Linked DNA regions of Astyanax mexicanus. The protein of the gene in region 2 purifies or fractionates together with the protein of the main gene of each other region. This does not show direct contact. Links are inferred from orthologs where the notes say so. Each region holds a gene or a part of one and is shown on either strand. Other genes may lie near its edges.

What was found.
Region 1: the proteins of slc30a4 (region 2) and pds5b purify together in Homo sapiens (affinity purification with mass spectrometry; 3 studies listed by BioGRID and IntAct, counting the BioPlex papers as one, with this or other methods). This does not show direct contact. The link is inferred for Astyanax mexicanus from reciprocal best matches to the Homo sapiens genes SLC30A4 and PDS5B.
Region 3: the proteins of slc30a4 (region 2) and cip2a purify together in Homo sapiens (affinity purification with mass spectrometry; 3 studies listed by BioGRID and IntAct, counting the BioPlex papers as one, with this or other methods). This does not show direct contact. The link is inferred for Astyanax mexicanus from reciprocal best matches to the Homo sapiens genes SLC30A4 and CIP2A.
Region 4: the proteins of slc30a4 (region 2) and stx8 purify together in Homo sapiens (co-immunoprecipitation; 3 studies listed by BioGRID and IntAct, with this or other methods). This does not show direct contact. The link is inferred for Astyanax mexicanus from reciprocal best matches to the Homo sapiens genes SLC30A4 and STX8.

Annotation. Positions count from the first base shown.
Region 1 is NC_064425.1:46,070,490-46,078,184, forward strand, and holds the start of pds5b (sister chromatid cohesion protein PDS5 homolog B), read right to left. Parts: upstream 3,291-7,695; 5' UTR 3,149-3,290; intron 2,802-3,148; exon of another isoform or gene 2,643-2,801; intron 1-2,642. Other genes in the region: n4bp2l2 (NEDD4-binding protein 2-like 2), read right to left, coding at 4,742-4,904, 5,561-5,637, 5,811-5,899, 6,470-6,594, 6,972-7,695. UniProt on the Homo sapiens protein: Regulator of sister chromatid cohesion in mitosis which may stabilize cohesin complex association with chromatin. May couple sister chromatid cohesion during mitosis to DNA replication.
Region 2 is NC_064416.1:44,423,097-44,431,252, reverse strand, and holds the start of slc30a4 (zinc transporter 4), read left to right. Parts: upstream 1-5,078; 5' UTR 5,079-5,284; intron 5,285-6,512; 5' UTR 6,513-6,708; coding exon 6,709-7,105; intron 7,106-8,156. Other genes in the region: bloc1s6 (biogenesis of lysosome-related organelles complex 1 subunit 6), read right to left, coding at 1,044-1,239, 1,762-1,828. UniProt on the Homo sapiens protein: Probable proton-coupled zinc ion antiporter mediating zinc import from cytoplasm potentially into the endocytic compartment. Controls zinc deposition in milk.
Region 3 is NC_064408.1:99,719,341-99,726,830, forward strand, and holds the start of cip2a (protein CIP2A), read left to right. Parts: upstream 1-4,296; 5' UTR 4,297-4,368; intron 4,369-4,475; 5' UTR 4,476-4,502; coding exon 4,503-4,567; intron 4,568-4,881; coding exon 4,882-4,984; intron 4,985-6,503; coding exon 6,504-6,651; intron 6,652-6,824; coding exon 6,825-6,937; intron 6,938-7,490.
Region 4 is NC_064412.1:26,666,169-26,673,841, forward strand, and holds the start of stx8 (syntaxin-8), read right to left. Parts: upstream 3,009-7,673; 5' UTR 3,003-3,008; coding exon 2,959-3,002; intron 2,841-2,958; coding exon 2,741-2,840; intron 1,387-2,740; coding exon 1,292-1,386; intron 1-1,291. UniProt on the Homo sapiens protein: Vesicle trafficking protein that functions in the early secretory pathway, possibly by mediating retrograde transport from cis-Golgi membranes to the ER.

The DNA.
Region 1 (7,695 bases), on a different chromosome or scaffold from region 2:
GTTTCTAAAATGTGTTTGAGATATTCACAGGGTGGAGCAGCTCATGCAGAGCATTACAAGATAAAACAGCACACAGTTAAAATATTAAAGTTTACCATTACTTCCATTACACAACATGGCCAGATTTGCATTGCAGACAATAAACAAATTGTACTGCCATATAATTTATACCAAGCTATTTGGACCATTTCTATTGGTCCATTCATCAAGAAAATATGCCTGCCAGTTAGAGACAAGTCTCTAAAGGAGAGGAAGGCGTTATTTACAGCAAGAAACAAATAAGCAAAGAACCCAATCCCAATGCAGAAGGAGGAGTCCCAAAGGTTAATACCAAGCAGGCGATGTTTAATTTGCATTACATTCTTTAAGAATTCTATAAGAACTCATACCAACCCATTTATGACTTAAACCAAATAGCTTTATTAAAAAGGAGGGAAAGGAAAAAAAAAAAAAAAAGAAAAACAAACACACATTTAATACTTGTGCACTGTGTACGGTCAATCGTGCAAAATCCTCATTTCCAAAACAAAAACTTTACAGCAGTGAAAAAGATTTTAACTTTCATTGAAAGTCAATGTAAAAACACCAGATTCACAAAGGACAAAGAAATGCGACAAAAACAAGATACTAAAACATGTTTTTGCATTACCCAGCGCTACAGACCGAAAACCACACCTCGCTAACAGGGTAACGGACTGAACCCCAAAACCCACAACCAACGCGCCAGACTAAACGCCAAACCCCGCAACCAGCGCACCAGACTAAACGCCAAACCCCGCAACCAGCGCACCAGAATAAATCCCAAACCCCGCAACCAGCGCGCCAGACTAAACGCCAAACCCCGCAACCAACGCGCCAGACTAAACGCCAAACCCCGCAACCAGCGCACCAGAATAAACCCCAAACCCCGCAACCAGCGCGCCAGACTAAACGCCAAACCCCGCAACCAACGCGCCAGACTAAACGCCAAACCCCGCAACCAGCGCACCAGACTAAACCCCAAACCCCGCAACCAGCGCGCCAGACTAAACGCCAAACCCCGCAACCAGCGCGCCAGACTAAACGCCAAACCCCGCAACCAGCGCGCCAGAATAAACCCCAAACCCCGCAGCCAGCGCGCCAGAATAAACCCCAAACCTCGCAACCAGCGCGCCAGAATAAACCCCAAACCCCGCAACCAGCACGCCAGACTAAACGCCAAACCCCGCAACCAGCGCGCCAGAATAAACCCCAAACCCCGCAGCCAGCGCGCCAGACTAAACCCCAAACCCCGCAGCCAGCGCGCCAGACTAAACCCCAAACCCCGCAGCCAGCGCGCCAGACTAAACCCCAAACCCCGCAGCCAGCGCGCCAGACTAAACCCCAAACCCCGCAGCCAGCGCGCCAGACTAAACCCCAAACCCCATAACCAGCGCACCAGACTAAACCCCAAACCCCGCAACCAGCGCACCAGAATAAACCCCAAACCCCGTAACCAGCGCACCAGAATAAACCCCAAACCCCGTAACCAGCGCACCAGACTAAACCCCAAACCCCGCAACCAGCACACCAGACTAAACCCCAAACCCTGCAACCAGCGCACCAGACTAAACTCCAAACCCCGCAACCAGCGCGCCAGAATAAACCCCAAACCTCGCAACCAGCGCTCCAGAATAAACCCCAAACCCCGCAACCAGTGCGCCAGAATAAACCCCAAACCTCGCAACCAGCGCTCCAGAATAAACCCCAAACCCCGCAACCAGTGCGCCAGAATAAACCCCAAACCCCGCACCCCGCAACCAGTGCGCCAGAATAAACCCCAAACTCTGCAACCAGCTCTCCAGTCTAAACCCCAAACGCTGCAACCAGCGCGCCAGACTAAACCCCAAACCCCGCAACCAGCGCACCAGACTAAACCCCAAACCCCGCAACCAGCGCGCCAGACTAAACCCCAAACCCTGCAACCAGTGCGCCAGAATAAACCCCAAACCCTGCAACCAGCGCTCCAGAATAAACCCCAAACCCCGCAACCAGTGCGCCAGAATAAACCCCAAACTCTGCAACCAGCTCTCCAGTCTAAACCCCAAACCCTGCAACCAGCTCTCCAGACTAAACCCCAAACCCTGCAACCAGCTCTCCAGACTAAACCCCAAACCCTGTAACCCACACAATAGACAAAAAGGTTAGTTAGCTGCAATAGGTAATGTATTTATATTAAATAAATAATCCTCTGAAACCATTTGACAGGTGACATTTAGGGGTCTGATTTGAAGGGTCTGATTTTTACCAAAGAAAAACGTTCGTCAGAAAACGGGCTTTTTGTGATTAATCTGAATCAAATTGGATTCGTCTAAACCTGACAAGAGTTTTATCGATAAACAGATAATAAATGTGAACATTTATCTTCACAATAAAAAGGGGCTACATACATGACAGCTAAGCTAACCCCTCAGACCCTCAGCTACAGACAGCAGTTAGAGAGCTAGCTTAGCATCTACAGCTAACCCATTTAAAAACACCTCTCTAGAGACAGATAAAAAAATCAAAAAGTCTTGAAGCTATAAGAAGGGACCGATACGTGAACATAAAGAGGTGCAATTTTTCAAAAGCACAAAATCTCTTCTTTTGGAATTAAATAAATAATAAAATAATGAAAACCTTACCTAGCTAAGCTAACGGCTAGTTAGCATAAACAGCTAGCCCTTCTTGCTAGAGATCAGCTCTGGCGCTAACGCTCAACTCAAACAGGCGCTCAGGCTGAAAAAATTACACATTAACCGGATAAATCACCAAAAAATCCATATATTTCCCCTCAGCCTGCAGAGAGAAGCCGCTTCTCCTCAGTTTAACCGGATCAGAGAGAGATAGAGATAGAGGGAGGGGGAGGGAGAGGGAGAGAGAGATAGAGAGAGAGAGAGAGAGAGAGAGAGAGAGAGAGAGAGAGAGAGAGAGAGAGAGAGAGAGAGAGAGAGAGAGAGAGAGAGAGAGAGAGAGAGAGAGAGAGAGAGAATGGACCTCAGTACAGTTTAACCGGATCCGCGCTGAAATAACACAACAAAGCCCCCGCGCGCCCCCCGGCAGCCGAGCCTCCCGCTCCCCGCGCACACTCCGCCACTAAATCCCGTAACTCCTCACCGAACAGCAGCTCCTGATTTTAATAAAAATCTACCTGATTAGAGGAGCTGCAGTCCAGTCTCTTCTCCACCAGCTCCCCGATCCTCCTCTCCGCTTCAAAATGGCGCCAATTTGTCCGCTGGCTGCACCAATCCAGCGGCCCCTTCACCTCACACAGCCCGGGCCAACAGCGCCACATGCAGGACGCGGCGGGAACTGACACACCAAAACACCCAGAACAAAACTAAACCCCTGCAGACTCAACTAAACCCCTTCAGGCTAAAATAAACCCTGCAGACTACAACTAAACCCTGCAGACTAAAACTAAACCCTGCAGACTAAAACTAAACCCCTCAGACTAAAACTAAACCCCTTCAGACTAAAACTAATCATAAACCATTCAGACTAAAACTAAACCCTTCAAAATAAATAAATCAGACAGGAACATTCATTATAAATTCAGATTTAAAGATCCAGACTCAGACTAAATGATTCCTTCAGAATATAATATAACCATCAGACTAAAACTGTCAGACTAAAACTCTCAAACTCAACACTTAGAATTAAACCGTCGACATAAACCCTTCAGTCTAAAATCCTCAGGCTAAACTCTTCAGATTAAAATCATCACATTTAAACCCCTCAGACTAAAACCTTCAGGCTCTCTCTCCGGCGTTTGTCCTTAGACTTATATAAACATATATAAGTCCCTTACAACAGGACCAACAGACTAAATGCTTCAGACTAAGCAATTCAGACTAAGACCTGTTAGAATACAACTCTCAAACTAAACCCCAAATCCATTGACCAAAGCAACAGACTAAACCCCCTAGACTAAAACCCCAATCCCTGCTGCCAAAACAACAGTTTTAAATCCAAAACCTGCAGAAATTAACACAACCAACTAATCCCAAATCCTACCACCAGGGTAATAGAAATGTATTTAGTATTATAATTATTATATGATGTAATTTTATAATTTCTGTTCTCATCTTTATATGTAAGCTGTAGGCAGTAAAGGCAGCTGTGTTACAGGTGATACAGGTACCGATTACAAACCCAATCTTACCTCCAAGGTTTCGCTTCTCTGAAATGTAATCTAATAAAGACTCTACTAAGGGACATCCATGGGGACACTCGTTTAGAACAGGGAGACAGAACTGAGTGTACGAGACATCTAGTACCTGTAAATGACTTTATCCTCACGAAAGCATTTGGCTAAAATTTTACCTGAGAGTTTATTTTTTTTCCTTTCAAACAAAAGTGTTAAAACATCCACGTTTTACAACAAAAAGAAAACAGCAGTGAATGTAGCCATTGGTTTATAAAGTCAGTGTAAAAGGACAAAGTGTATGGTATCAGTTTTTTATTACAGTCAGTAATTAAACTGGACATTATGGACATTTCTTCATTAATCAATATAAAGACAGTGGACAGAAATACAAAATCACAAAGCTTTGTGTGTACACAAATTTCCAAAAATAAAGACCTGAACTGAGCATAATTCAAAATGTCATACAAATTTAAACATTATTTACAGAAGTTTAAAAACACAAATACATGTCTACTGACTAAATAACAAAAAAAGCTTGTTCCAAAGTTCAAGTAAAAAATATATATTTATTATTTTCTTTGTCTGATAAAAGATTTAAAAGTTATCATATTTTCTCTGTCCATAGGGTTTGGAAAGGCGCTCTTTGCTTTTATGAGGAGGCTCACAGGAGTTCATCACGATGTCCACACTGATAGGCAGCTCAAATCGATCCAGCATCTTTGCTATAGTGTCCCGTGGGACCCTATGTGTATTCCTCCTTTTGAAATGAATCAAACACATTAAATGTATTACTCATTATCTGTGTCCATAATATTAATTAAGGCCAGCATGCTCCAAAATTAATTACAAATATTGTTCCCCTATTTTTATGCTTTAAAATAGTTTGACATGCAACATAACAGGAGGGTTAAGTGGCTGGGAACAAAAGAACATGATTAAACACATTCTTTAGAAGAAAAGTCCAAAAATATTTTGACATAAAGTGAAGAATAAGTAACAACAACACAATATCCTACTTTAATTTTGATCAAAAACATTCTGAAATCAGGTTCACTTTTGTCACTAAACCACTAAACATTGTCTGAGATATTTTATAGATAAACACATTCATAAGAGAGATTTGGGTTGGTTTAGGAGGGTGCTGGGAATCTTTATCAATCAGAAAGTTTACATTAAGATTCTTTATGCCTATAAATGGGTCACATGCAACCAAAATTGTTTTTTCTAGGGCAATGATGCACAAACCCTTTTTTAGCATCTTTATTTTTAGGAGTGGAGTGGGCTTTTATGCTCCCAAACTTTTAAGAGGACATGCAAAGAAAATTTACTTGGCACATACATATTGGGTGCCCACAAGACCAACAGTCAGAGCCTTCCCTGGGATACTCAGGTCTACATAATGCACAGACTTACTTTTCTAACTCAGTGGGATCACATTTCCATCGTGTGTCAGGCTCAACAAAATCTACTCGATATCCACACTCCAAAGCCTGCAAAAAAATAAAATAGCACATACAAAACAGTCATAAACATTACCATACTGAAACAGGAATAATAAACACTGTTTATTTGAAAATTCTACAGACATACAGGTATAAACACAGTTATATTTCATATTTCAGGAAACCTATAGGATAGCCTGGCATTTTTTCTGATAACTTACCAATGTAACATAGGGCTTCATTTCCCAGGCCTGAACGTTTGTGTTGTCAATAATAACAGGTGAACGTCTGTCCAACATAGCATCTCTTGCTGAAAAAAAAAAACAGAATATACGGCTAGCTATGAAGCTGAAAATGTAAGAATATTCAGTACAGAGCAAAGCTTTAAAAACAAAAACATAAACACTTTTGAATATCTCATTCTAATACAGACTGCAATCTAATCCAAGTAACCAGTTACACCAGCTGAAGGTACGTTAAATTGTAGGTTACGATAAAAAATATCCTTAAAACACACTCAATGCAGTGAGTTCTAAACTAGTAGATTTAGGGTACGTCTAAATTAGTACTGCATGAACTGACTACATTTTAACATGACGATGTAGCCAAACTGTTTAAATTCTCTCCCATATAGAGCACATTATGTATATATGGAAAATCTGATGTTTAAAAAAATATGGTCAGTTGGTCAGTGTGTGTTTTTCACTGACAATATCCACGATATGCTCAGAAATATTACCATTCAATATTTTCACACTGTTCACCTGTATTTGTGAGAGCTCCATTTCTTTCTTGTGTTTCATATCTCATGTTAAAAAAGGGTCTCCGCAATATGTAATTCATGTTTTTATGTGATAACTTCTGTAGAAATAAGTAATACCTCTCTTTTGATTCCAGTCATGTGCATTCCCAAGTAAAGTAGGGTCAAAGAAGTAGCTGTCCTCTTGGAAGAAGTAATCATCAGTGCTCAGTATTAGACCATCAGGACCACAGGACAATATTTCTCTTTAAAGAAAATACAATAGTCAATAGTGTTTTGAAGGGAAAAGAAAGGGATGATGTAAAAGAAGGTTAAATGTGCGGAATTCTTAGTTAATGTAAAATAGGATGTTAATCACAGCAAAATTCTATATAATATATTACAAAAATGTATGGTATTATATATATATCGGTGTGATATTGTAAATAAAATGGATTTTCCATTTAAAATAATGCATTAATACAAGGGCCACCAATTTTACCCACAAAGAGGCTGGTGTGACTGATGATTTTTATTCAAATCAAAAGTACACCTCAACTAATTGAGCATTTGAAGCCAACAGATTATACAACTGTAATCAGGTGTGCTTCTGACTGATTGTACAGCCGCTCTGAAAACTCACTTTGCCAGAGTTGATTTCCCACAGCCTGGAAGTCCTCTCATCAAAATCAAAACCGGAGACGTGCCACTGTTACGCTGGTACTGATCTCGCTCGTGATAATGCTGTGTCTTATAATATGGCTGCCAGTCAGCTGAACCTCTTCCTCGCTGTTCAAATGACTCAGGGCAGTTTGATGCAGAAAGTCTGATGTCATTACGAAGAGGAAAATTGGTCCTTTCCCAGGAGCACCAGCTGTTGGTGTCATGGTGACTGTAGTTGTTAATAGGAGGCAGGAGATGCAGAGGTGGTGTAGGAGTCTGAGGTATAGGTGGGGGTGGAGGTAAGAAATGACGGCGGCCAGGAATTGGAAATCGTGGTGGGTCATGTGGAAGCCTTGGTGGTGGAAGATGTTGCCACTGACTTGGATGGCTGTTTGCTGCATCAGGACCGTTCCATGTAATTTCGTTATGTGGTTGAGGCTTCCATGTCCTAGAATTTTCATAGTCTCTTTGAGGTCGAGTAGCTGGATAAGGCCTATACGCACTCTTGTGATCATTTTCCCGAGTCTCTTTTCTGGGAGATGGATTGGTTTCTGGTTCACATAACCGAGAAAGACCTTCTGTGACTACTAATTCTCCATCAACTCCATCAACTTTGTCATGGTGGTCAAACTCCTCAAGCTCTTTGTAAAAATCACTCAGTTCCTTCTCTATTGCTGCGTCGGGTCGACACGCCGGGCCGATGA
Region 2 (8,156 bases):
TTTTATATTTTTAAACCATGTTAAATTATGTTAGAGTAGAGGAAAGTCATTGTTAATGACGTTATTGTACTTGGTCTATTTCGGTTTAAGGATTGTGCAGGGCATAGCCGTATTACTGATTTTGTATTTTTGCACTTGGGCTATAAGCTCAATATTAAATATTTCGTTTGCTTAGAAATTATTTTATATTTTTAAACCATTTTAAATTATATTAGATAAGAGGAAATTCGTTCAGACATCATTTTTGTAGGCCAGGCTTTTGTAACCGATTTAGCCCCTACTGTTGCCACATTACCCCTTACGTTTTATTATATAAATCAGTTTCGAAGAGCCTGCATTTTTTTTATCATGTATAATAGAGGTCTGCGCGAGACTGATTTTTAAACCCACTCTTCCACGCTCCGCGTTTCTGTCTCGTTACCGCTCCGCAAAAAAATAGCTTCTTTTAATCCCGCGCCCGCCCGCCACATACACATTTCTGCCGCTCCCGCCCCACGTTCCTAATATAAATTAAACAAACTACATTTAATGCTTCAAATTTACTTATATATTTATTAAAACAGCAGCGCCGTTCCTTACCCCAGTCCAAAGACCATCGGTGTGTGCGTGTGTGTGTCGGTCCATCCTGCGCGTTGAGAGTTTTCTTTAGGTTTTTTTTTTTTACAATTATTACAGTTTTCTTAACTATTTATTAATTTGCTCCCGCATCGTCTGGATTAAACTCCCGCTCCAGCCAATAACAGTTCAGTTCTGTACCGCGCGCAAGATATTCTGACGGGACCCGCGAAAACAGAAGTGGTTAGAGTGAGGTGGAACTCTGGAAAGGAGAAAAAAAACGAATATCCGAATACCAAAATTAAAAACCGAATACCTACTCAACGAACGAATATCCGAATACCCGAATATTCGGGTCCAGCCCTAGATGAAATGCTTTGTCTTTTTTAATTTTGACACTTTCTGAATCTGGCAGTTGTTCTTTACATTGTGTCAAAAAGAAATGTAATATATGTGTGTGTGTGTGTGTGTGTGTGTGTGCGCATTACGTTAGCTCCTGCAGGGCGTGTTTAGAGGTGTGTAGTTGGGGAAGGTAGTGGGAGATCAGCCCCTCGGTTAGTTTCTCCACAGACTCTTTATCTACGATCAGCAGGTCCTCCACAGGTCCAGCCTGAAGTTCAGACCCAGATCCAGCTTCAGCCTCCTCAGCCTCTGGCCCCGCCTCCGAGCCTGGCCCCGCCCTCTCTGCATAAACACCACATAGCAGAGCCCTCTCAAAACACTACACACTGGAGTTTAATTATTGTGAACCAGATTTTAACCTTAAAGTAAATACATGTGAATGTGTAAGGATGGAGCTGACTATATGAATATCGTTATTGTCCTGCATAGACCTTGTATCTCCATTTTTTTCATCATTTGATTGTTTATACTGTGAAAAACTGTCCTTATGAATGGACTAATATAAATGATTAAGATTTTTTTTTCTGATATTTTGTATATATGTATATATACATATACATATAAATATTCCTAAATTTACTAACATAATCTTAAGTGTAAACTCTCATAAGTAGCTCTGTGTCATGAATGTAAAAACACATGTAGTTGAAATTGAACATCTATTATATAGGTTAAACTGCTGTAAATTCAATTACTGATAAATTATAAAATTATTACATATGCTGTTATTATTATAATTACAAGTATTCATTAATCTGACTAGTTTATATATTAATACTCAGAATAAATCAGAGGTTGACTGACCTGTGTTAGTTGGAGGCTCCGCCCCTTGAGGGATGGGCCAGTCTGCATCTCCAGCTTTATGCTCCATTAGGACTAAAAGCTTTTATCGTAGCAACCCTAAAAGATAAAATAAAGGGTAATGTGCCATATTTCAAAAAACTATTAATCTACGGTAACTGGTTACTAACATAAAACACAGTTAAACAGTCCACACATGAGAAAAGTGTGTTTCTCATCTCTTTTTTTTTTTACTTTATATCTTTTCAATGGGGCAGCACGCTACGCAAACGGCGCAGCACACTTTAGCCGACTGTCAAAGAGCAGCCCTTTCTCCAGAGAATGTGGACATCCTCATCTTTTGAAAGAAAAACTTGAAAATATAAAAATATCTTTATTAAAGAAAAAAATGTTTTTTTCTGTTTAACTGTTATAGTAGGATAGCGTTCAGTTTGTTAAGGCTCTAATTGTTCTATTATTTTGTACATGACTGTTCCTGCATTATTTTATTATTTATTTTGTTATGTTGCACATTGCTGTAATAGTGCACACTGTTGATACCAAAAAAAGCCACTAGATGGCATTACATATATATCTTAATTAAATTATTTAAATTTGACCATTAGTGCCTAATGTGGTGTATTACAGATCACTTGTATCACTTTGCATCACTTATATCAAGCCCACCTTTTAAATTAAGATATTGTAAATTTGATGAATCAAACCAATGACTGACCATAGACTAATCTAAAACTGGCATAGGCCTCTCTGCTGTAAAAAAAAAAAAGGAAAAGAAAATCGAGAATCGAATCGAATCATGACCCTAAAATCGGAATTAAAATCGAATCGAGGATTTAGAGAATCGAGACACCCCTACTGAAAACTGACCTTTACTAAAGCAACTGTTTATCTATACGTTTTGCCTTAAAGTATATTATGTTATTCTCAATTTTTAATGAATTAATCAGTATTTTATCTTAATTAATATTTAGCACAATCAATATACTACCATCTCAAATATTTAGAATATCATTAAAATGTTTCTTTATTTCAGTAATTCAGTTCAAAATGTGAAACTCATATATTATATAGATGTACACACAGAGTAACACAAAGCACTTCATAATTTCCTCTGCTGACAACTTTTATGGAGATTCGGATTTCATTTTCCAGCAGGATTTGGCACACTGCCCACACTGCCAAACGTACCAATTGGTCTTATATAATATTGAATTTTTCTTATACACAGATTTATGGGTTTTTATTGGCTGTAAGCCATAATTACAGCCCAAACTATTTACTGAGAGTTCTGTACTGTACTGGAATCTCCTCCACAGTCTCCAGATCTCAGTCCAGTAGAGCAGCTTTGGGATGTGGTGGAACGGGAGATTCTCATCATGGATGTGCAGCTGATAAATCTGCAGTAACTGTGTGATGCTCTCATGTTAATATGGAGCAGAATCTCTAAGGAATGTTTCCAGTAGCTTGTTGGGCCCAACCTGGTACTAGCAGGGTGTACCTAATAAAGTGGCTGTTGAGTGTATGTACCACTATAAAAAACTGCCTTTACTCTAACAAATTCAGATTATTAAGGGAAGCAACTGAAACCTTTTGAAACAAATGTAACCTTTATATACATTAAAATTTAGCGCCCAATTAGTTGTATACAAAAAATAAAATCAAAGTTTTCTCCTGAGAAATGTATATTTCATTTATTAAGCTAACTGGAGCTTACATAGACTGCTCACAGCTTTAAATCCTTTTTTAAAACTCTCTTTTTAAATTACTGGGATAAATAAAAGCAATAGATATATTAAAAGAAATAAAAATTATAAATTAATTTTAACATAGCACAGCCAGTGTTGGACAAGTGTAGTAGGGTGAACAGCATCAATTAGTTATATATACATCAGCAAGTATTAGTTTGAAACTTTGACCGAACCTTAGCAATTATCTTTTGATACTGATATAATTCCGATATCACCATGCATAACTACCAGGAATACCCACCTCTAAAAATAACACTGGACCTTTAAAGGGGTACTAAACGCCCTGATTTTAGCTGGCACCACCCTCAGCTCAAATTTGAAAAAGTCTTAATAATGGGAGAGGTAGTTTAAGAGGGGGCACTGGGTGATGTATGGGTTTAGAGGCAGGACAGGAGGGAGTGCTGATTGGCTGAGCTGCAAATTTTAAGTAGGACATGTATGTCTTATTACTTCAAAGGAACACATTTCAGCTATTAATGGAAAAAATATGATTTAGAGTTTAGTGCCTCTTTAAAAAACCGGCTGCTATCTGTAACACCACGTGTTCTATTTTACACAGGTCAGGTCACGTGTACCCAAAGAAATCTATCAGTATATAATAGATGACAGTGTCCTGTTTAACTAATCTAATCTAATCTGATCTCATCATGATCAGAGTCTATCCTATTAAACCCGCACTTTAAACCCAACCGCATGTCTAAACCTCTAAACCTCGCCTGTGCATCAGCCTGCTGTTAATCCCGGGTATATAAAAGCTTTATATTTACCTTTAATCATTTCTGAGACTTAAAACCCCAGATATTTCTTCCTGAACTGATCAGACCTTCAAAACATCATGTGACATCTTACTGAGACCAGCAACAGCAGCGACAGCAGCGCGCCTGCGCCAAATCACAGCCTGTCAAAATAAAAGTCTCCTTTTATTTAATGAAAACTGTATTAATTACATTTATTCATTCTGTGTGTTTTCTTAATTTTTTACAGTTTAAATCTAATATTAAATACTGTATTAAAGCTTTACAGGAACACATGCCAAATTATTCTGTAAAGAAAAAATATTAAACAAACCAGCATACGTTTTATACTGTAGTTTCTTCTAAGAATCACATTTATATTTAAGGACAGATCTGCACACTCTCGATATTTTAATAAAAGGAAATTCACCTGGAATAGTTTCCTCAGCGTCTTAAAAGGAGTTCCTGGAGGTGCTGAACAATAGTTGCTGCTTTTCCTTCGCGCTGTGAAGCTCCAGCTCATCCTAGATCTCAGATTGTGGAGGACTACATTTTTTTTCTGTTTACTACGTAATTCCATATATGTCCCTTATTTTTCAGCATATATATATATATATATATATATATATATATATATATATATATATATATATATATATATATATATATACACTCATATGTGTTTTTATTATATTATTAAAATAAAATAAAATAAAATAAAATAAAATAATAATAATAATACATCATTATTTTCTTTGTTTAGAGTTTATGGTGACTTTTATTTTGGCAGAGCAGTCAGGTGACTTTCCAGCGACTGTGTCTCACTTCACAGCTTCTGAGCGACAGCAGAGAGAGAGAGGGACGGCAGCAGCAGCAGCAGCGGAGGAGAGAGAGAGACATACTGACACTGACACTACTAACACTAATGCTGCGGTCTCACTACATACACGCGTGTGAGAAAGAGAGTGAGACAGAGTGAGAGAGAGTGTCTGTGAGGAAAATGGACAATTAACGACTCGGCTGGGAGAGAGACGGAGGAAGACGGTGAGTTTGTTTGTGTTTCAGAGAGACACGGCCTGAGAGAGAGAGAGACGGATACAGGGGTAGAGTAAAAGAGAAAGAGACAGGTAGACAGTAAAATAGATAGCTTAAAGAAAGGCGGGACAGGTAGAGAGTAAAGGAAAGAGAGACAGGTAACCTAGAGGGTAAGATAGAGAAATAGAGTAGAGGAAAGGGAGAGAGACAGATAGAGAGTGAAAGAGAGAGTAAAGGAGAGAGACAGGTTGAGGGTAAGAGAGAGAAAGACAGTAAAAGAGAGAGTAAAGGAGATACAAGTAGAAAGTATGAGAGAGGTAGAGAATAATAGAGAGAAAGACAGAGGTAGAGAGTAAGAGAAAGAGAGGTACAAAGAAAGAGAGAAAGGAAAACAGAGAGAAAGAGGCAGAGAGAAGAAGTAAAGGAGAGAGTAAAATAGAATAAAACAGAGAGGGAGTGTGAAAGAGAGAGAGAGGCAGAGTTATAGAGTAAGAAAAATACTAGGTCTAGCACGATAAAAATTGTTTTTGAACAGTATATAGTTCCAAAATGTTTTGCGATTAAAGATATAATTGTCATATGAGTTTTTTTTAAATCATAGTTTAGGAAAGAAATACTTTATTTCTTCACCTACTGCTGTCCAGAAAAAGGAAAGAGTAAAAGAGCAAGTGAGAGAGAGAGGGTAAAAGAAAGAGAGTAAAAGAGAAAAGTGAAACAGAGAGGTGGGAGTAGATACAAATGATGTTGATCTGAGTGTGTTAATCAGGTCCTGTTAAAAACACTGGGGTTCCCCACGAGAACCGCATTTTTAATCCATCCAGCATCTTTCAGAACAGGAACTGAGAAGTGTTAAGAGATTTTCTAGGTGATTTTGGAGTGAAATTAAAACTACTTTTTAAAAGGCAACAGAACTAAAGCAGCCCAGGAGCTGAACCAACACAGCTGAGTGAAATAAAAAGTTAAGAGTTAAATAAACAGTTAATAACCAGTGTATTTAATATTATATTATATTAAATAATATTTGATTATTTGACTTGATCTGGTTCTTTCCAGAACAATTAAAGATCCCTTCTTTTTTTTTGGATAGTGTAAAAAAGCTACAACGCAGAGCTTGAAGGGAAAGTGTTGTTGTTTAGTAAAGGGACACAGTCCTCTGTATATATTGCTGTCATTGCTGTTATTACTATAATTGCTGTTATTATTATTGTTTATTATAACGTATTGTTTGTAACTGCAGGTGATGTAAGATGATGACGTTATGCAGAGTAAACCTGAGGATCCTGAGAGATCACCTGACCGCTGCAGCCTCCCCTCAACGACAACACTCCGGGCCGAACCTGACGGACTGATTTAACAGCTGTCTTTCGTAATTATACACACACTCGTTTATACACGCATTTCTCCACGTTGTCGAGCAGCTCATTTCCAGCACTATGTCTGGGATGGACTTACTGTCCCGCATGCGCTCAGCGCTGCGCCGGGAGCGGTCGGACCGGGACTGGAGTGCGACGACCCCCCTGGACGAGGAGCTGGCGGAGGAGGACAGTCCCCGGTTCAACCGGCTGAAGGTGGTGGTCTCTGGAGAAATGGAGGACTACACGGCGGCGTCCTCCAATGGCACCACAGTCAACACCTTCCTCACCAATGGGGACGATGATGATGACTCTCTGCTGGGCCTGTCCTCAGGCTCGGGCAGCCCCGGGGTCACCGCCGCTGAAGCGTGCGAGAGCTGTGCACGGAGGAAAGAGCGACATAAGCAGAGCCGTGTGATGAGAAAGCTAGCACTGGCCGCTGTGCTGTACTTCTTGTTCATGATAGGAGAACTTGTAGGTAAGAACCATTAAGAACATTGGGCAGTACCAGATCAGAATCTTATTCCGCTATTAGAGCGTTTTCACACCAGCACTATTTTGTCCAGTTATAAGGAACTCTGGTTCGTTTGTACCAGAGACTGTAAAAAAGATGGACGCCGTGTCGCCATTCCCATTCCCATTACTATAGCTGTTGCATTTAAATAATGGAGGTAGAAATACAGTATATAAGAAAAAAAACGTGATTGAAAGTTGTCTGTTTTGCCATTGAAACCTATGGGGATGGGTGAGGTTACACAGCTTTCTGAAACCGAACAGCAGGGGGCGCCCGACCTGTGGTGGCTTCACTTTTGAGAGACGATGCTCTGTCCAGCTATACACAGTCTATGGTTTGTACCCTTAGTGTTGTTTGATTGAGGTGTGAACACATTAGTTGCACTCTAGTGTGGATCGCTTGTGGTGATAACGTGATCTGGTCTCAATCCAACACAGCTATCAAATACAGTCATTTAAATACATATTTATTTAAATGACTGTAAATAAATATGTACAAATAAATAATTTATATGTATTAGCCAGATTATAACACTAATTACTACAGCTATAAACAAATGCAGTCCCTGCAGCTTTATGCTGTTTACACACACACAGTAAGTGCAGCGTTCACTGCTCGCAGCTGTGCAACTCCATTTACTACTTTTACATCTGTACTCTGACCAATCAGAGGAGACAATGTGCTTGCGTGGTTTATTGGTGCGGGTTCTTTGGTGAGTTTAGGTTTAAGCCTGTGTGAAACCAAACCAAACAAACACGCTTGTGTGCGCGCTGAACAGAATATCTCTCTCAGAATATAGTTTTTCTCCTCTTGGTTGTTTATTTATTTTCCTCTCAAATTCACAGTTCTCCTCACGCGCTGTGCAAATTACCTGCAGCTTTTGTTTTTGCTCGAGCGAGGCTTTTGCGCTCGAGTTTTGAAAGGGGTGGTTTTGACAGTTTGGGGCGGGGTCAGGGTCGCCTCTCTCAGCGAATACTACTGGCTGATATCTCCAGGGTTTGTGACGGAACGCCTA
Region 3 (7,490 bases), on a different chromosome or scaffold from region 2:
TATATTGCTGGGGCAGAATAAGAGGAAACTCAGTAAAGAGTGAACTCTGTAGCTCAAATCCAGCATACTGTGATCACTACAAACACAACAAAGTTAATGTGCTTTTACAGCCTACAACACTGAGGCCTGGCAATCAACACATATATTATATTACTGCACGCCCAGGATCAGGTAGCTTTGTACAACAGACAACACAAAGATGGTAAGTAAGGGAGAGACCACACCCAATATGCAAATATTGACCTGGCAATCAACGTATATATTATAATTAGTGCACGCTGAAGAGTAAATGTTTATTACACTTTGGGTGTATTGACAAATATCTTTCAGTTATGATTACTTATCTTAGTATCTATAATTACATAATCATTGTGTGAAACCTTGTATTTTATATGCATTAACCAATACTCACCTTACATTTGATCATTTTTACTCACAGTGTATTTTACACGCATTTATATAGAATATTAACCAATAATCACAATATATTCTTTACATATATAGTAAAACATTGTTTGATCAGGCATGTGACTAACACCGACCTTATTATGACAAATTAACCCACATGATACATAAGGCGTTTACTAACACATAGGACCTATTATATGGCGGTCTAACCACGCGCCACTAACACATTAACATATAACATATGAGATCTATTGTGTGACGTGTGTAGCTCATGCTTGAAGCATTTCGTTTACTGCATGTCTCTGACTAACGGCCATCAATCATCAGCTAGTGCACTCTGGATGAACTAAATTGATACAAAGGAGGCTTCGGGACGAACAGTGCGGCCTTTCTCTCTGTGCGTGCAAAGTTCTTCACCTACCAAAGCGGGAGGACGCGCGCACATAGGGAGGGCGGCACTGTCTAATTACTGGAACAATATCACACTGTCTGACTGGACCCAGTCAATTCTTAAAATAATACCACACTGTCCGGCTGGATACAATCAAGGCCAAACACTAGTGGTCCGGACAGACCTGTGAAACTTGAACACTAACACGTGAAAATATGCATACTAACATGAGATGATTTTAGCAACGCCTCATCAGCAGGTTTCACGTCATTTGGGGTATAAACATGGTGTCATGGTCAGAACAGAATAGCAGACAAGCGCAGATACTGATAAAAACAATATACATTCTGGGTAGTGTAGTTGTTAACCTGAGAACCTCCGTTAGAGCTTGGTGTGGAAGGGACAGAGGAGCTAACAGCACCAGACGTGACACATGGAGTCAGATCAGAGGGGGGACAGAACTTTTACTGGGACGTCTGTTAACTGTCTTGTATGTATTGGTTCTCCTGAATTCAGTAATAAATACTTGGTTTGCTTTCAACTTCACTCCACCTGTCTACGACTCTCTATCAAATGAACACGTAGGGGAGTTGTACCCCGGACGAGAGGTGGGGGTTAACCCACCTCATTTTCTTTTCTACAACAACGCCCAGAATAAGGTAGCTTTGGGCAACAGACAACACAAAGATGGTAAGTAAGGGAGCGGCTACACCCAATATGCAGATATATGGTACCAGGAACCAATAGGAAAGCTGCATGAACCAACACTGTAGAAAGAGCTAAAAGTTGGTTGAAATCACATTTTTTCATTGGCTCAACAAACCTTTTTAAGTTTTCCGGTTGAAAACAATGGAGTTGTACTGGCCGGTGAGTTCACTCAACTTAATAACATTAGTTTTTCTGACTAAAACACAGAATTACTTTTTGGAGTGTTGGTGACTCACGCAGCTGAAAGTAATCCCCTTTAGTTTTTTGCTCCTTGTTATTATTAACTGCTATGCGTCGGTTAAAAAGTGTTTAGCCCAATGCGCCCACGGTTTTAAAGTTGTAAAAAGTACTCCAGTCTTGGAGTCTTGCTGCCTATCACTCTACCTCTCTGCATTTTCAAATCTTCACACTTTCATTTTTTTTAACCAATAACTTAAAAACGTAAGTTGAATAAACTTGGGTAAATTTGAATAACTCACAGGAAGTTAAGACAATATGTTATTTTAAGTTATTTTTATGTAAAACGAAGGAACTTGAGTTCAATATACTAAACTTGTCATGGCAATTGGAATTGAAAAGAACAAATAAGTTCACATAACTTAATGTGGCTGTAATGTTTTACAGTGCAGTCTCTGGGCTATGTATTGAATGAGTCCCAACAAGTTACTTTCCTAGTTTCTTTACTTTAACAATTATGGTTAAATATCAGTCAATGTAATTCAATGACCTCTTTAAACCTTTGTGTTTAAGATGGAGGTACTTAATAAAGCTGCCTTCCATTTACAGGTTCTGTAAAAAAAAAACCACAACGCTTCCTCTGTCCTTCCGTTTGTGTTTCTATTTGTTGCAACAGGTAGCCTAAAAACTCCTCATACGTACAGACGAGCCTGTCCTCTATGCACCCTGTCAAGCATGTCACTTCACTTTAATGAAGAGATAAACTGGCAGTTTTGCTGCCTTGTGTAGGACAATAGTTTTGCATGAGTGTCTTAAATAGGTAATGTTTTACTTTGACAGCGTACATTTTTTAATAGCATACATTTAATCTACTGATAATACAGCAGAGTTGTATATTGTAGTATAATGTGGCAGTTTATTCAGTCAGATAGAGGAGCAAAGTGTGAATATACAGTATTTAATATCTTGTTTTTTTGTTTCTCAAAACAGTTATATCTCTGGATTTTGAGTTTCAGATGGAAAGAAATCTTTTTGGATACAATATTTTGGAACTAGCAATTACTCTATCTATATATCAAAATTTAAAGTTACCAAAAAAGTCAAAGAAGGCATCATTGGCCTTGCCCTCTCAGGGGTAGGTTGATGACATTTCCTCACAATATCACTCATAATGTGCTGCTGTGTGCTGCTTGTATGTTGGTGGGATTGCTAGTGATAAACAATGGTATTGGCCTTTCAAACTGGCTGGAAAAGGGAGTAAACTTAGAAACAAATTATACAAAAAAAGAATATATGTAAAAAAAATAGCTCATCATCACAATTGTTTTCACATACTGCTTCCTTAAACTTTGGACAAGCATAAAATATTGGGGCTCATTTTTCCTCTTTATGGTAGAAATTGGCTTCCATTAGGCTACATGTCAAGGTTATGTGTGAATCCCTTACTTTTCATGTTGTTGTATGCAATTAACACATACTCATACTGAGTTCTCAAACTGGTCTTTCTCTAGGGTAAAGGGTGGGTGAGTTCTGACACAACACATAGAATGCTTGGTTAAATGGACCGCCCACTTTTTTCTCCCAGATTATCTCATAATTCAAATTTAGAATTGTGATATATGCTACACGACTAACTGTGCATCAGTCAGTTCACTTTTATGGGTGTAAAAAACATTTTTGCATGATATCCATCTTATCCCACCACTGGTTGAATGTGTTAAATTTCGACTATAACAATAGACATGGCTCTCGAAGACAAATTTTCAGTGTTGGAATAAAATCAGGCTGGCTAGAGTTGAGTGGCAGTCGAGTTGCGCTCGCGTCATCTTGATCGCTCAGTGTTGTTGAAATGTGTTTAGGATTGAAAGTTTTAGTCAGCCTTTTTCTCATCCTCCGTTCAGATAAAATCAACCGTGTTTAATATTATTGTACGTCTTGAGACTTGGCTCACGCAAATAGGGTGTGAACAATGTCAACAACCAATAGGAGAGCTACGAAAAGCCACAAAGCAAAAATATATTTGAACGATTTGAAAAATATATATGGTCCTTACTTTAATATATACAGCATTTTAAACACAGGTAGCACTTCATCAACAATCATTATATTTAAAGTTATTTTATTTTGCACTAGTACTTTTTCTTATTGAGCGGTGTTATTTTTTTATACAAACAACGTTTATTAAATACACATTTTGCAAGAATGTTCTTCATTTCATTAATTCTATCTAAAACTAAGGCAAATGGATAGCAGTTATTCTTTGCTATACAAGGTTATAGCAAAAAATATGGAAGAATAAGTTTACAAGAGATTTGAACACAAAATATAATCTATTATAAAAATATCAAGAACTAACAGTGTGGCAGAAAAAAAATGTTGATGGGGACAAAAGTTATGAGTCTCATGAATCTAAATCATAGTGTCAGACTTTAGTCTATTAAAAGTATTTTTAAAGTCTTTTCAAAGTCTTCTAGTGTATGGTTAGAATAGGGTGGATAGCTAGTTCACTATATAGGGAGTAGGGTGTATGGAGGGATTTTAAATGCGGACACAGCGTGCTTAGTGGAGGCGTAGCAAACGTGCGATACGTAACAACGTCACTGCGTGGAATTGATTTTGGTAGGGGGGGATTTATGTATTTTATGTTTTTAGGTTTATGTATTAAACACCTCAAAAACTTAAAGGTTTGTTCAAATAACAGCACCATATAGTACTAAAACTTAATCTAAATAATTCAAGTTTGTGTTAAACTAAAACTACGCGTTTTCAGTGCTCACTGTATTTCCCACAGGTCCACACAGCTCCCCCTCCGTAGGACATGGACTCGCCCAGGGGTTTGAAGTGGAAAGCGGGAGTCAGGCCGAGAGGAGGACACAGAACCCTGTTAGGACTAAATACAATAAATATAGTTATACATATATGTATATAACTGTATCTGTATGTTCGCGGGCTCTGTGTTACGTGGGGCGGAAAACAGACACGCTGTTTGGGTGTAGTTTAGTTAGTTTTCCGCCTCAGCATGAAGGAGAAACAGCGCTGAGACAGTCCGTTACACTAGAGGCTAAGCTAAGCTAACTGAGCGAAATCGAGTTCTGTGCTTCTGTGGCTTTTGTTTACTAGTGTTTACTGCTTTAATAGAGTCGCCTCCGCCGGTTATTTTCATAATTTATCGGCTATTTAACTTATTTAACCCCCAGAATGGACGTGACTACGTGTCTGAAGTCTCTGCTTCTGGCGATTCGGCAGTACAAAAACAACAAAAGCACCCTGAGTTCATCACAGCTGCAGAAACAGATCGAGGTGAGTCAAACTTACAGTCTGAGCCCCTGAGGTGACCCAGAGTAGATAGCCAGGGTTGCCAGGTCCAACAAAAATATCCAGCCCAAAGTCAGTCTAAAATCTGATCTTTAGAAGCTTAAACTAGCCCAATATATATTTATATATATACATATATATATGTCTGTCTCACGTTTGAAGCAAATGCCAAAACAACTCTGAGTGTACGACTTAGTGTTTTGTTTTATAAGGGGTTTATTATCCGTATTGCTATCTGTCTCATAAGTCATTAATAATATTGTAACATTAGTGTTTAATTAGTTATTTTACATCTAACAGTTACTAATGATGCTACATATTCTAATAATACACTCCAAATATCTCCATTATAATAAAGATTTGTGACTTACTCTACTGTAATATAAAATGTAATATAAAACACTAAGGCTCTGCTTACTATTGGGTTTATTTTGTCTCACAAAATTACACAATATATGAAGAAATTAGACTTCATTAGCATGATCTGAAGCATGTAAACAATAGACCTTAGAAAGAGGTATGTCAACAATTTTAACACTGCTTCCTTTTTAAATAGTTCCATAAACACTGTGAATGGACCTAAAATACTCAATCTTTAAGTATTTAAAAGAGGCATTGTTCAAAAGCTCCTTTTTACAAATCAGACACAAGTTTAAATCAATATCAAAATAATAATACGGAAAAAAAAATAATAAGTGAGCATTAGTGCTGCACAATATTAAGAAAAACAGACGTGATAAAGTATAGTGCAATATTTAAAAATACAGGAACTGTAGGGCTGGGAGGTTAATCTAATTTATTTGATTGAGTTACTGTTTTAATGTGATTCTCAAAATATGAGGGATTCTCAGTGGATAAACATTTGCTTCTGTCAGAAACCTGTAACAAACTCTTTTATGTGGCAGGGATTTTCATATTTTACACTTTTTATTAACTGAAATACAAGCCTGTTATTTTTGCACCGTATTTAATATAAAAGCTGCATGTAAGGTTGAAGGGGTCTGCTTACTGTATCTAACAAAAGTTTGAACGTTAATGTAAATTATGCAGTTTTTTTCCAAATCGCAATCAAGAATATTAAGGTATACATACAGACTTATGTATTTATCAGTGCATAAACTTGATTTTTCTTTTGACGCCTCTACAAACTAGTGAAAGATATTTTCACAACAAAGCACTATTATAACCCTAGATAAGAGCACCTTCTAAAGTTGTTGTATATAAGTGTAAACCAAATGTCACCAGAAATGCCAAAGTCAATGATTTAGCATGTTGTGATATTAATAATGAACCCTCTGCCTATGTGCAACAAATTGGAGTAATATAATGAAGCAGGGCAAACAATCTGTGTCGGAGAAGTTAGAATAATTTTGTGGGAAATTTCCTTTAATTTCAAGCAAACTGTAACACAAAGTGTTTGATTTCATTCCCCATAATTGGCGTGTGAAAATTGCACGCATGCACATTTGAATTTTACATAAAGGTCTGTCTTTTCTTTCTGCAGGATGTGTCAGGCCTGAAGTGCTCTAGACTCTTAACATCTGGTCAGGTGCTTCCCAGCGAGTGTTTGAGTGGCCTGTTGGAAGTAGCCGGAGATCCAAACACCAGCCATGCCCTTACTGGGGCCATCCTCTCTCTGCTGTCACAGCTTGGTACTTACTCACGTCATCTATCTGTAAAGGCCCAGAGTTTACTTATATTAATAACATGAAGTTAAAATTATATGAAATGTTATGATAAATTTCCCATTTCCTTGAAAGTTACCACTGCAAATTCAGGGCCTTGTTTTGACAGCCATAAAAAATGCCTTTTTCTTTCTTGGTAGCGTCTGATGATGAGAGCAAAGAGGCCCTTCACAGCAGTTACAGCATTGTTGGAACACTGGCTGCCATCGTCCACTGGAACAGAGCCACCCCAGAGGAGTCTGTTGTTTTACAAGTAAAAACTCCTATCGTTCTACCTACCAATGTCCATGTCACCTACTCATTTACAGTGAGGAAAATAAGTGTTGATTCACTGTTGATTTTGCAAGTTTTCCCACTTTCAAGGAATGGAGAGGTCTGTAACTTTTATTGTAGGTACATTTTAACTGTGAGAGAAAGAATGCCACTAGATGGCATTACAAATGTATCTTAATTAAATTATTTAAATTTGACCATTAGTGCCTAATGTAGTGTATTACAGATCACTTGTCTCACTTGCATCACTTATATCAAGCCCACCTTTTGAAATAAGATATTGTAAATTTAATGAATCAAACCAATGAATGACCATAGACTAATCTAAAACTGGCATAGGCCTCTCTGCTGTAAAAAAAAAAAGAAAATAGAGAATCGAATCGAATCGTGACCCTAAAATCGGAAATAAAATTGAATCGAGGATTTAAAGAATCGTGACACCTCTAGTGTATATTATGAGACACTGGAACAAATAACTTTGTAATGATGTGTACAGCTTTGTCTAGAAAAGGTGTCATGCTATTTTTAATCAC
Region 4 (7,673 bases), on a different chromosome or scaffold from region 2:
TCCTGATGTAATTTTACACGCACCTGATGCTTCATGGAATAAGTCTTTAGAGTTTTAGCTGTTTTTGTAGGTTTGTGTTATACTTGTGTAGATGTAATTCAGGCCTATAAAGGCAGTTTTTTTGTAACGTCTCAACAGAATAACAAATATGGAAATTGCTGGAACATTTTGCAAATAATAGAACCATTTTTGCTATTTATATTGATATTGATATGTTATTAGAAGAAGCATCAAAAAAGGTGTATAAAAGGCAGTATAAAAGTGTTTAGATATATATACAGCCCTGGAAAAAGTAAGAGACCACTTAAAAATGAGGATTTTTATTTTATTTTTACCAACAAGAGGAAGACGGATTATCACAAGCCATCAAACCAAACTGAACAGCTTGAAACTCCTAAAACTTTATAAATATAAGAATTTGTTTTCTTTGTATTTCTTTGCATTTGAGGTCTGAAAGCTCTGTATATTTATTTTTTATATTTCAGACATTTCTCATTTTCTGCAAATAAATGTTCTAAATGACAATTTTTTACATTTGGAATTTGGGAGAAATGTTGTCTTTAGTTTATAGAATAAAACAACAATGCTCATTTTACTTAAACATAAACCTATAAATAGCAAAATCAGATAGAAACTGATTCAAACCCTGAAGTGGTCTCTTATTTTTTCCCCAGATCTGTATATTTGGGAGTGTATAAGGTGCATACAGGTGTATAATAGCACATATTAGAGTTTATAAGCATGTATAAGTGCTTATTAAAGTGAATAAATGTGTAGGAGTTTATAAATATGTATAAAATTGTATAAGCATGTATAAAAAAACATTTAGAAATTTATAAGCATGTACAATGGCTTATAAAAGTATTTCTACTCCTTGAACAGTTTCACATTTTGTCACCTTATAATCACAAATTTAATTTTATTTCGTTGAGATTTTAAGTGATAAGCCAACACAAAATAGCACATAATTGTGAAGTGGAACTCCAAAACACTGGCAGCTGTAATTGCAGTGAAAGATAGGTCTACTAATAACTTTGCATGTCACACTTTTATTATTTTTATTTGAATAAAAATTTGAAAATCATGTATCATTTTCACTCCACTTCACAATCATGTGCTACATTGTGTCTGTCTATCACTTAAATTCTCAATAAAATACATTTAAGCTTGCGGTTGTAAGGTGACAAACTGTGAAAAAGTACAAGGGGTATGAATACTGTATAACATTTTATAAGCATGTATAAGAGTGTATAATAATTTATAGGAGTTTGGAAGAGTGGTGAAAGGATACATGCGGCGCTGTGATGAGGCTCGAACCAGTGTCTCCCTCAGTTGTAAGATGTTCTGTTTCAGCTTCTGCAGCGACGCTCTTAGAGTCATGTTGAGCTGCACAGAAAAAGCATTAACTTAAATTAACCATACGTTAATAACTTTAACTTATATTCATCAGATATAACTACTACCAGTAATATTGGGTAGGACTGTGCACTATGCACTCTACATTCACTGTACAGTATTTTTATAGCCATTTGTATTTTCTTTTTATCATATTGTCCTAGAAATAATTGGATTAAAAAAAATCACTGTCAATGTAAGACCACATTTATGTAATTTATACAATAATGTTATAACATTAAAGCGCTTCTAAAGAGCAGTGTTCTTTTCATTATCAAACATTATTATTATACAAATTTCCAAAAAAATTTAAATGATAGTTATTACAGTTAAAGTTGACATTCATGTTAATTACGGTAACCATTAGCCTGTCAGCCTTAGCCTGACTATGAAGAAATATTCTACAGACCAAATCAGAAAGTTTGTGCACATGCCTCGACTACTGCAATGCCCTGCTAAATGGCCTCCCGGCCTGTGTAGTAAAACCACTCCAAATGATCCAGAATGCAGCAGCACGTCTGGTCTTCAACCAGCCAAAACGGGCACATGTCACCCCGCTGCTCATTGAGCTCCATTGGCTACCAGTTGATGCTCGCATCAAATTCAAAGCTCTTACAATCGCCTACAAGGTGATGACAGAACCGCTCCTTCCTACCTGCACTTGCTCCTGAAGGCTTACGTCACCTCCCGGTCGCTGCGCTCCTCCAACGAATGTCACCTCGCTTTACCAAACAAACATTCACACAAAGTAATCCAGACTGTTCTCATACAGAGTTCCCCAATGGTGGAACAAACTACCTTCTACTACCAGATCAGGAGAATCTCTCACTATCTTTAAGAGACTCCTGAAGACAGAGCTTCCTCTTCAAAGAGCACTTACTCTCCTAACACCTCTAACACACTAACTACTTCTAACCTCATTTCCTTCTTCCCCTCCTTCACTTCTCTATCCCATTATTTCCCTTTGACCTCCTTTAAGCCCCTATCTAAAGATGTTTTACCTTTAAACTTCTATTACTTTGTACTTGACTATTGTAAGTCGCTTTGGACAAAAGCGTCTGCTAAATGTAATTTAATGTAATGTAATGTAATTTAATGTAACATACTGGCTGGCTTCCAGTTTGCATTTAGCAGCTACTTCTCTCTGTCTCAGTTTCTTTATTATGTTATTATCTACTCTATAAATTAGTGAAAATGTTCTGTATTACACTCTGTTGATGAGCGTGACTGGTAAAGTCCTGTTGTATTAGTTTATAGCTCTCATGAGTTCAATGGTTTTTGTGAGGAAACTCTGATTTGTCTAATTCTAATCAATTCTAACATTATTTTGAGGTCATTTCTTTACCTTGGCAGGGTTCCCACCGGTTCTCTGCAGTCTGTTCCGCTCATGGATGTTCTCTGCGATTTCTTGGGCCAGTCGGCAAGTGGCATCATAATTCTGCAACCTGATGAAATAGTGGTTCAAAACAATAGCACTGTTTTCTACACAAAGTAGAACGAGATCAATTAAACAGTTAAATAAAAAAAAACTATTAACAATATTTAATTATACACCTAACCTACAAGTTCTCCTCTACTCCTTTCCTGATGAGTGCCATTTTAATCATTACATTTTTGACGATCTTTGTGACTGCACTTGAGGATATTTTCAAAGTTTTTGGATTGACAGACCTTAAGAAATAAAAATTAAAACATTACATTACATTATATTACTGTGTGGTTAGCTGTACTGACAATTTGACAACTTGAATAAAACGGGCAAATAAAAAGCACACTAAACCTGAATGTGCTTGTCTCAAACATGCTAGGTAGTTACGTAAGTTATCTCTCTGGCTACAGTTATGAAGCTAGATAATTCTAAAAATGCAGTGGAGTTTCCTCTATAGTTTCTGTTTTAGTTCAGTAAAGAAAGCTCGCTGGATTAAAAAGATCCATAAACAGAAACTGTTCTGTTTTTGAGCAAGAAATATCTGGTCGGAGTGTTGAACACGTTCAGAGTTTACGTTATATGGTGTGGTTTGTATGGTAGTGTCTGCACTGCGGTGTTATTAACGCTAATTATCAGCAGACAGTCTGAGTTTAAACTGCAGGACTGCATCATGAGACTGGGATCAGCTGACTGAGAGCTTCTCCCTCTAAACACCAGGACAAAAATCTCTCACACTGATTTGCCGTCTTTACACACCAGTAACCCCAGAGCCCGGATAAGTACAGGTCTCAGGACAGTACGCAGTAAGAAGTTCTCCAGCAGCTTTAGCTATATGTTAATGATTTTAGTTATCTGGTTAGCTGACCTGAGCTAACTCTCTCTACAGCTCGAGCTGCTGCTGATACAGATAACTTATATAGCGCTGTATAAGGAGAACTAAGCGAGGCTGAAGCTCAGACTTACCACAGGTCCTGAGCCATGTTTCATCTGAACTGCGCTGAATTAACCCAGAGTTTTACTGAAAACTCAAAAGCAGAAAAAATCTAACACGAAAATCAAAACAAAGCTACAGCGATCAGCTGCTTCCTGTTTCACTCTGCGACTGAGTACAGAGCGCTGTAAGGGACAAACTGCACTCGGTATTGGAAACGCGAAGCTAATGTTTTTTTATTTACACGGACATTTCTGCACATTTTCTAAAATGTCACCCTTTTAAATTAATTTCAGAGAGGTATATCTCCTCTGGTATAGCTCCATATAAAAAGTAATAATAAATAAATAAATATAAAGAAAATAAATGTTACCTGTGGTTAAATCGCCTACATCCTCAGGTAAAATATCAACATTTCAAAATAGCTTTCCAGGAGGACAGCTAGTTTCACGGAACTTATTTCAGGGCTCGTCCCCATTTGTTAAGTTATATAAATACTAAATAAGTACTCTAATATAAGATTTACATCCTAGTAATAAAGGCTACAATATATAAATACTTCATAGTTGTTTAGTTTTCGTATAAAAGTCTATAAAGCTAGCTAGAAATGCTCTACAATTGTCTTCTGTCTTTTCAATCAGTATTTTACTGTTTTCTAGTTGTTTCTACTGCTCCCCTGTCTCATAAACTATTCTCTTAATCCATTACCTCTGTAAATTAATTACATTATTTTACATTTATCAAACCTTCACTATCATGCTAAATGTTTTATAACCTTTTAGGAGAAACAAAAACCTTGTTGCTACCAACTTTGAATGGAAGTTAATGTAATTAAAATACTACATACTAAAATACATTTTATACAATTTAAGTCATTTTGGAGCATTTTTATACAGCACAAAGAAAAATGACTAAATTCACATTATGAAGAAATGTGTATTAACAAAAACAATATTGTAATCAAACCTTTCCTAAATTCACATCCGCACATTTAACCCTAAGTTTATTGTATACAGTTGTACAGTTAATATTTTTTAAAAAGGGTTAATCTTTTTTAAAAGCCCAGCAGAAACTTATCCAATCTGTTGTTTTTTTTTGTCTGTGGTGTTTAGTCAGCCAAATTGTTGACACAGTCAGCTTGTTGATTTTTAAATATTATATTCACAGCCATGTCATATTAATGTGTAAAGTTCCACAGGACCAGTATATTGGACTATTTCATGCTTCTGTATTATAAATGTAATACTTATACTACTCTAATACAAGAAAACACATAATATGTTATAAAGGCACATCAAGGGACCACTTTTAGATGGAGTCCAAGGACATGGTTAACATAATTTTTTCCATGGGTATAAAAAAATACAAACAAATTTTATTTTCTTAAATGAATTGTAATGATAACTAACTTGAGACAATATCTCAGATAATCCTTCCCCAAAAGCAGGAAAACCCTTGACATTTTCCTGTCACGTCCTTTCTAGTAAAAATAATATATATATATATATACATTTTACACTTATTTACTTATTTTACCAAATTAGGAGAATAATCCAAATACAAAATTTATAATGAAATAAAAAGGTTTTAACTTATACCAAACATAAGAATGTAAACAATGATAATAAGTTCTCAATTAATAAACCTCATTAATGATAATTTCTTAATCAATGATAATCATAAAAAGTAGAATGTCTTCAATGCCGAACCAAGATATTCACAGGTTAGACCTTTCTAAAGTATCCAGGCTTTATACAATACAATGTATTAATCAAAGTTGATATCATATGAAGATTTTTAAACTTTTTTTGTCATCTGACAAAACGTGATTTATGTGACTGACACTAAGTAACATGACTGGAAGACATCATAAAGCCCCACATTTAAGGCCAAAAGCTGTCTATATTTTGTTTCAAGAATAAAAACACGTGTTGGAATAAGAAGTCATGTGAGATGCTGTACATTTGTTTGCTTGCTTGTTTATTTGTTTGTTTTTTGTAAGTGCAATACCTCACAAATATGTTGCAGTGTTATTTTTTTTGTAATGTTGATTGTGGAAACATAACTTCAGACATTATAGAGGAGAATATTTATATTAATATTTATATTAATATTAATATGACTTCTTTGGCATAGAAAGATATTACTCTCTAATATTAGTTTCATAAGCTCATGTAGGTTATTCTAAATTCTCCTTTAAACTTCTCTAAACTCTGTAACTCTTTTTCTAAAGCTGTCAGACTCTTCCACATTTATCTAAACTCTTCTAACTCACTCTAGAGTCTTCTAAACTCTTGCAAACCTTTCTGTTCTTTATGTAAGTAGTGCTATAACAGCCATGCTTCAGGTTTCCCCAGGTAGTGAATTTACTCGTTTTGGTCTGGTGGATTTGGAGCGAGGGAACGATGCAGGTGCCGCTCCTCTGGCTGGCTGTCGGAGACTTCGCTCCTGTTCCCTTTTTGTTCCTGAGGGTTCTGGAAGGATTGACTTAAACTTCAGCAGACCCAGGTCCAGATCCTTCTACATGTGTGAACCTGATGACAGCAGTGAGTCCAGGTCTGAAGGGACCAGTACTGGAAGATCTTTCTCCCTGCAGACAGACTTGGAGAAGAAAGATGACAGCCACACCAAACTGGCACCCAAGAGATCCAAGGCATGCACACATAAACACCTCAAAAAAGACCACACAGGTAAGAGTGACTTCATTTGAAAACAGTATTTATGCAGTATTCAATTTAAAGTGTGTAATGGGGGAAGGATTGGGGTGTAGGTTGGTTTATCATTACATTCTTTGTTAATGAGGTTTTTTAGATATTTTGTTAACTAGATTTACAGCAACAATACATTATGGCAAGGTTTTCAGAGACTGTACTGATTACTCTTCATAATATTATTTTTGTTTTGCTTTTTGTTGTGGTGATTCATGTACACTAAGTCTACGTTCACATTACAAGCCACATTCCTCAAATCCGATTTTTTGTCTATCTTGACGCTTTACATTCACAAGTGTAAGTGATCTGTATCTGTGTGTAATGTGAACAAATCTGTCCCAGAAACATCTAACATGCACACACTGATACTTTTAAAACATTGCCTTCTTCATCAACAACAAAAATGTCATATTTGAGAGACGACTTGTACCTTTATAGAGGTGAAATGGATGTGTTAGCAGCTCATATGTGGAGCATCTTTTGCTCGAGTGGAGAGCAAACAACTAGTCTGAAGTACATGCTCAGCTCGAGGCGGTGAAAAAAGGCCAGGCGGTTTGCTTTTGCTGGCACAAGAAATATGAGAGGGTATAAGAGAGAAGCACGTAGTACATGCGTAAAAGCAAAAAGACGCATGAATTCTGATTTGACAGTTCACATTCATGTCTCATATCAATGGATCGAATTCGTATCTAATTTAGGACCACGTATGGAAATGGCTCAACTCTGATTTGAAAAAGTCAGATTTGGCACATTCACACAGCCATGAAAAAATTAGATCTGAGCCACATTCAGCAAAAAATCAGATTTGAGTAACTTCAGCCTGGTAATGTAAACATTCCCATTCCAGTTTCCCAGGTTTAGGCATAGTCAAAGACTATATTTTTCTGTAAACTGAAAATCTCCTATTAAAATACTGGGCAATCATAAACTAAATTTTATTTTAGATTTTATATTTAATGCCTGTTGATATCGCCTGCCCCTCTTGTCAGACCAAGTGTGGGAACTCTGTGCAAAGGTGACCATATAATGACCATATTTTGGTCAATACACTATAATTCTGAATTAATTTTTCAGCTCATGTAAAGCACCCTGTAATAAACGTCAGTCAGTGTTAAAAATGCCAAAATAATGTATTTTGGACTATTGGAAATGTTTCTACAAATCATGTGACCATTATTATATTGTTACTGTACATACTCAATCAGCC